Canis lupus familiaris: one gene and its partner. The protein of the gene in region 1 interacts with the protein of each later gene in a pairwise test. Links are inferred from orthologs where the notes say so. Each region holds a gene or a part of one and is shown on either strand. Other genes may lie near its edges. The genes, in order: TSKS and TSSK2.

The links.
Region 2: the proteins of TSKS (region 1) and TSSK2 interact in binary tests that used the Homo sapiens proteins (3 or more experiments, as listed by UniProt). The link is inferred for Canis lupus familiaris from reciprocal best matches to the Homo sapiens genes TSKS and TSSK2.

The regions. Positions count from the first base shown.
Region 1 is NC_049222.1:107,465,410-107,469,325, forward strand, and holds the start of TSKS (testis-specific serine kinase substrate), read left to right. Parts: upstream 1-1,139; 5' UTR 1,140-1,224; coding exon 1,225-1,466; intron 1,467-1,837; coding exon 1,838-2,063; intron 2,064-3,916. UniProt on the Homo sapiens protein: May play a role in testicular physiology, most probably in the process of spermatogenesis or spermatid development.
Region 2 is NC_049247.1:30,211,407-30,214,626, reverse strand, and holds TSSK2 (testis-specific serine/threonine-protein kinase 2), read left to right. Parts: upstream 1-1,092; 5' UTR 1,093-1,223; coding exon 1,224-2,300; 3' UTR 2,301-2,431; downstream 2,432-3,220.

The DNA of each region.
Region 1 (3,916 bases):
CAAGCAGATCCCCTGCTTGCATGATGTGAGCCAAACTCAGACACTTAACCAACTGAGTGACCCAGATGCCCCCATAACCATGTCCTTAAAAAGGGGGAAGCATGGCTACAGAAATAGATACTTACAGAGAGAGGACAAGAAGACACAGGAGGACATGACCATCTATAAGCCTAGTCATGCCTGAGCTACCAGAAGCAAGGGGTGAGGAACAGACCCCTCTCTCACAGCCTCAGAAGAAAGCCATCCTGAAGATGCCTAGATCTTGGACTCCTGGCTTCCAGAACCGGGACAATAAATGTCTATTGTTTGAGTCACCTCAGTTTGTGGGACTTTGTGATGGCAGCCCCAGGAAACTACTACAAACCCAAACCCTTCAAAATGTCTATCATTGACTATAGTTCAATGTCAGTTTAGTTTCTTTTTTTTTTAATTTTTATTTATTTATGAGAGAGAGAGAGAGAGAGAGAGAGAGAGAGAGGCAGAGACACAGGCAGAGGGAAAAGCAGGCTCCATGCACTGGGAGCCTGACGTGGGATCTCCAGGATTGCGCCCTGGGCCAAAGGCAGGCGCTAAACCGCTGGGCCACCCAGGGATTCCCCCCCCCTTTTTTTTTAATAGGCAAAGGCCACTTGCAGTAAAAGGCTCACATCTCAAAGTGCATAAATCGATGGGCTTTGATGAGCACAGGTCATCACCTCATATTGATTCTCCTGATATCATTTACCAACATCTGGTATTTTGGTTTATTTCTGCCTGTTGCCTGCCTGCTGCCCCCTACCCCAAAATGTTGGATCCTCCAGCAATGGGACTCAATCCTCACTCATCACAGTCTCCCAGACCCCAGAAAGTGCCAAGTCTAAGGTATTACATGAAAAATCAAGTATGAATAGGGGGCTGGGTCACCCCATAGGCTCAGGGGAAGGGAAGTTGAACGCCCCCCAAGAACCAGGGGGCCCATCCATTGTAAGTTCCAGAACAAATCCATTGCAGTTCTAACAGAAGGGACATATCTGGTAGAGCTGGAAGTGTTCATGGCAGACCCTGGGAAAACATGCTGGTTGCCTTTCTCTACTCCTATGCACCCCCCCCCTCTTTACTGGAGCCCAGTGGTTGGGTCCTTTATGAGGCAGGCTGGTGGGGGTCAGGGACTTTGAAGGTTAGTGATCAGAGTAGGTGGAGAGTCTCAGAGGAAGGAGCCCCGGGGAGCAGGGCCACCCACACACCATGGCGAGCGTGGTGGTGAAGACAATCTGGCAGTCCAAAGAGATCCATGAGGCTGGGGACCCCCCTGCGGGGGTCGAGAGCCGCGCCCAACTGGTCCCTGAGGCTCCTGGGGGGGTGACCACCCCGGCCAAGGGGATCACGAAGAAAAAGAAGGCCGTGTCGTTCCACGGGTGGGTTTGTCGCACCCTGTCGGGGACGGTCCTAGCGCCCAGCACTGCCTCCAACAGAGCACGAGTCCCACCGTGGGTGCTGGAGGAAGGGGAGGGGGAGAAGAGGAGGGGGCAGAGGAGGGGCAGACAAGAGGGTGGTGGCAGAGGAGACATAGTGTGGGAAGTGGAGAGGAAGACGGTAGTGGGGATGGAGGGAGGGAGGGAAAGGTCAGTGGGGAAGAGAAGACTCAGGAAGAGGAGCGAGGACAAAGGGAGGGAGAAGAAAGTAGGCAGTGGGGGTGGAGAAGACAGAAGAAATTAGGCAGCGGGGACAGAGGAAGGAAGAAGAAAGTGGGTGGTGAAGTGGGAGTGGAAGAGAGCAGGGGGTGGGGAGACAGGGAGGCAGAAGAGGCCATACCCACCAGGGCTGCCTCTTGAGCACCCTCCCTGTTTCTTCTCCCCAGGGTGGAGCCTCGGATGTCCCATGAGCCAATGCACTGGTGCCTGAACCTCAAACGGTCCTCGGCCTGCACCAATGTGTCACTGCTCAACCTGGCTGCTGTGGAGCCCACTGACTCCTCAGGGACAGACTCAATCACAGAAGACAGTGGCTCACTTGCACTGCCGGTGCCCCCTGCCTCTCCCACCCCACCCTGGGCTTCAGATGACCCAGACATCACGGAAATACTGGTGAGGGACCCTAGCTGGGGAAGATGAGGGTCTTCACCCTGGTGCTAGGCAAATGCTGGGATGGAGCTGGTGGGGGGGTCTTCTTGACTTGGAATGGGAAGGTTCTGGTTACCCTCGAGGCCCAGAACTGCCTCCTCCACCCCTAATGACCAGCTGTGACTCAGTTCCGTCCTGGGTGAATGATGCTCATTGCCTAAGAATTGGTCTTTAGTTCATCTACTCACTTCCACATGTCCTGGGTGAGGCTGGAGTCACAGATGGGAGTTAGGCCTGGTTCCTGAGCATGGGGAGCTCCTAGTCTGGTGGGGGCGACAGAGACAGACTGGAGTGATACATTTCCATAATGGAGCTAATACTGGGTATCCCAGAGAAGGGCCACTCAAACCAGGCAGGGAATATCAGGGAATGCTTCCTGGACGAGGCAGTGTTGGACTTGGACTTTGATGGTATAGTAAGAGTTCTCCAAGGGGATCCCCTAAGAATCTGAGGCAAAACTAGGAGGTGAGCAAGATCTAAGAGGATTTCAAGGATTCCTGGCTAGAGCATAGAATGGATAGTTTGATCCTTTAACTTCCCTGCCAACCTCCACCCCAGCCAGGTTCCCTGAACTGGGCTTGACATGGACTCTGAGAATGACATGAAAATAATCATGGTCGTAATGATGCTAATCAGATTCACTAGCATTTACTGACCACTTTCTGTGTTCCGGGAGCCTCAGTTTCCCCATCTGTAACATAGAAATGGTTGCATTTGTTCCTTCAACAACTATATCTTGAACATCTATGATCTGCCAGGAACTGGCGTAGGAGTGGGAAATATAGCAAGACAGAGTTCTGGATGTAACCACACCCACTTCATAAGGTTGTCATGACAATGAAGTGGCGCTCCTGCATGTAAAATGTTTAGCACATTAGCCAACTGTGAGCACAGAGTAAGTGCTGCTTATTGTTATTACTTATCCCCATTTCACAGATAAAGCTATTGAGGCCTAAGAAAGGTTAGATAGCATGGCCAAGGTCACATACCTTGTAAGTAGTGGAGGCAGACTTAGGAGTTGGGGGGCACCTTGGATGCACTCATTGGGGCAGCAGAGGCTACTGTGGGAGCCCTGGAAATGGTAGTCTTGGCCCAGCTTGCCATGACCAAGGCCATGCTTCCTGGAAAAGGCAACAAATAAGCTGGATCTTGAAGATAAGGAAGGTGTTCCCCTAAGCAGAAGACAAGGAATGGTGTTCTAGCTAGCTGGAACAGCAAGTGCAAAGGGGCAGGGGTTTATTTATTTATTTATTTATTTATTTATTTATTTATTTATAAAAGATTTTATTTATTTATTCATGAGAGACACAGAGAAAGAGAGGCAGAGACATAGGCAGAGGGAGAAGCAGGCTCCTTACAGGGAACCCAGTGTGGGACTCGATCGCTGGACCCTGAGCCAAAGGCAAACGCTCAACCTTGAGCTGAAGGCAGATGCTCCACCACTGAGCCACCCAGGCATCCCTATTTATTTTTTTCAAATTAACATATAATGTATTGTTGGTTTCAGAGGTAGAGATCAGTGATTCATCAGTTGCATATAACAGTGTTCACTAGACCACGTGCCCTCCTTAATGTCCATCACCCAGGTACCCCATCCCCCACCTACCTCCTCTCCAATGATCCTCATTTTCTTTTCTGTGATTAAGAGTATCTTACGGTTTGTCTCCCTCTCTGATTTTGTCTTATTTGTTCCTCTCTTCCCCTATGATCCTCTGTTTTGTTTCTTAAACTCCACATGTGAGTGAGATCATATGATAATTGTCTTTCTCTGATTGATTTACTTTGCTTACCATAATACCCTCTAGTTCCATCCATAT
Region 2 (3,220 bases), on another chromosome or scaffold:
GGTGCAAGACAGCTTGAGAGACGCAAATGCCAGGAGTCCATCAGCCTGCCCAGCTCCTCACAAGGATCCCCTCCTCATCCCAGTGCCTGCTCTTACCAGAAGCCCTGGCACCAAGGCTCCGCCCAAGGTCCTGCCCCCTCATGGGCCACCGCTCAGCCCCTCTGTCTCCTGCCGCCCAATCACCCATAGGCCTGCCTTGGTCCAGCCTCCTCTTGTCCAGTCAAAGGCATTGGCCTCCACTCACCCCAAAACCGATCCTCTATGTACCCTGCCAGGGACCATCTTAAAACGTGACTTGAGTCATGGCTCTTCTGGCCCCAGACCCTTCCCTTCTCCTCCACCCTCCCTCCAGATGTAAGACAGCCATTCTCAGAAGAAGCCGTCACCTCTTCCAGGCTCTTCCCTGCCTGGATGCCTCACCACCTCCTCTACCTGACCGAGGCCTGGCCCATCCTCCAGGCAGGCCCCAGCCCTGGGAACACGCATCTGCCAGTGGGGGGCACAGGGCCCTGCCTGCCCTCCCACCCCACACATGCCCCGCTTACCACAGTGGCACTCCTCTGCCCAGCCTTGTACCCCAGAACAGAAACTGCTCTCATTCACAAGGCTGGGTGGAGCCACCAGCCTGGCCAGACCAGGGCCATTCCTCCCAGGCACCACCAGTTCCAAAGACACAAGTCCTAGAGAGAGTTTTCTTCACACCCCAAAGAAGCTGTAGGAAATAGGCCCTAGTGGGACATGGACTGATGCAGAGTCAGCCCGCACAGCCAGGAGAAAGAAACAGGCATGGGGCTGGCACTCTGGCCTGACCTGGGGGGCCCTCCCTTGGGCCTGACTCAAGACCAGGAAGCCACAGCGAGGAGGAGGAGGAGGAGGAGGAGGAGGAGGAGGAGGAGGAGGAGGAGGAGGAGGAGCAGGGAGGGTTACCGCAGTCCTGGGTGCCGGCTTCCTTCCAGTGGGCGGGGAGTGGGCACTCCCACCAGGCCAGCCTGGCTTCCAAGGTTCCAGGGGCCCGTTTCCCCCAGCTCAGTCCCTACTCCCGGCAGGCTGGCTTTATGACTTCACATGCTGAAGTCACGCGGAGACAATGCTGAGCGTTCCACCCCTCCGAGTCCAGGCCCAGCCCAGCCAGACGGCTCCCCACAGGGTAAATGAGGACAATGCCCGCTGGCCCACGTGGGGAGGGGATGTAGAGCGCAGCGGCGCCAGCCGCTCCTGGCACCATGGATGATGCCGCGGTCCTAAGGAAGAAGGGTTACATCGTGGGCATCAATCTTGGCAAGGGCTCGTACGCAAAAGTCAAATCTGCCTACTCTGAGCGCCTCAAGTTCAACGTGGCGGTCAAGATCATTGACCGAAAGAAGACGCCCACTGACTTCGTGGAGAGATTCCTTCCTCGGGAGATGGACATCCTGGCAACTGTCAACCACCGCTCCATCATCAAGACCTATGAGATCTTTGAGACCTCTGATGGGCGCATCTACATCGTCATGGAGCTCGGGGTCCAGGGCGACCTGCTCGAGTTCATCAAGTGTCGGGGGGCGCTGCACGAGGATGTGGCGCGTAAGATGTTCCGCCAGCTGTCCTCGGCCGTCAAGTACTGCCACGACCTGGACGTCGTCCACCGAGATCTCAAGTGCGAGAACCTCCTCCTTGACAAGGACTTCAACATCAAGCTGTCCGACTTCGGCTTCTCCAAGCGCTGCCTGCGGGACGGCAGCGGCCGCATCATCCTCAGCAAGACCTTCTGCGGGTCGGCGGCGTACGCGGCCCCCGAGGTGCTGCAGGGCATCCCCTACCAGCCCAAGGTGTATGACATCTGGAGCCTGGGCGTGATCCTCTACATCATGGTCTGTGGCTCCATGCCCTACGACGACTCCGACATCAAGAAGATGCTGCGCATCCAGAAGGAGCACCGCGTGGACTTCCCCCGCTCCAAGAACCTGACGGGCGAGTGCAAGGACCTCATCTACCGCATGCTACAGCCCGACGTCAACCGGCGGCTGCACATCGACGAGATCCTCAGCCACTCATGGCTACAGCCCCCCAAGCCCAAAGCCATGTCTTCTGCCTCCTTCAAGAGGGAGGGTGAGGGCAAGTATCGGACGGAGTGCAAACTGGACACCCGGCCAGGCTCGCGGCCCGAGCACCGGCCCGACCACAAGCTGGGAGCCAAAACCCAGCACCGGCTGTTGGTGGTGCCCGAGAACGAGGACAGGATGGAGGACAGGCTGGCCGAGACCTCCAAGGCCAAAGATCATCACGTCACCGGAGCCGAGGTGGGGAAAGCGAGCACCTAGCGGTGCTGTGGGCCCGGGGGGCGCGGTGCATGGTGTGCGCCCACATAAACTAAATAGACAGGTAGGAGCTGCAGAAGGCACAGGTGCAAGGAACAAGTAAAATCCGTCAATTAAACCACTATTTTGATTACGTTCTATTAGCTTTCTTCCACTTAGTAGCAAAGACGTTAATTACTGACCACCAAATAAACCACAAAGTGTATACAAGCATCAAGAGTGCCCCGTGAGGAGTCTTTTTCTCTAGGACTCAGCCAACCCCCCTCCCTGCGGCGCGGGGGTCTCCAGCGTAGAGGTGCAGGGCCCGGTGCTCGGGGGCAGGCACACTCACGGTGAGGCCCTGTGGGCCAGAAGACCTCAGCCGCAGCCCACAGCCAGGCCCCCCCACCGTCTCCCTCGGACCTGCCCGGGGCCCAGTGTCCCAAGGCTGGCCAGCCGCACGGGTCTCTACGTTTCGGGCAGAGCACAGCTCACCCTGCCCCCAACCCGATCCTGCTCCCTCGGGCCCCCCTCTTTCTGCGTACTCTGCTCCCTCCATTCCTGCTTTTCAGATCAGTGGCCTGAGCCCCTTGAGTGCCCTTTTGATTGCCAGAACAGCCCCAACCCAGACCGCTCACCCACCCCTTCCTGCCCACCCTACACCCCAGCCCGTACTCGGGGGGCCAGCGCTTGGCCTTAAGTGGCCTTGTCAGGACAGTCTCTCCCCCACATCTCACACCCACTCACACCGCTGCCTCCATGCTGCTCTGGCCCACACCCCCCTCCTCCATGGGGAAAAACAGCAAAGGCCACACTCTCCTGACCCCTGAGCAGTCCTGGGCCTGGTCCCACCTGCCAAGCCTAGTCCCAGCCCCCATGAGTTAGGGGCCTGGCTGGGGCTTGGCCCCCTGAGAACTGGCAGGAACTCAGTCGAGCACAGGCTA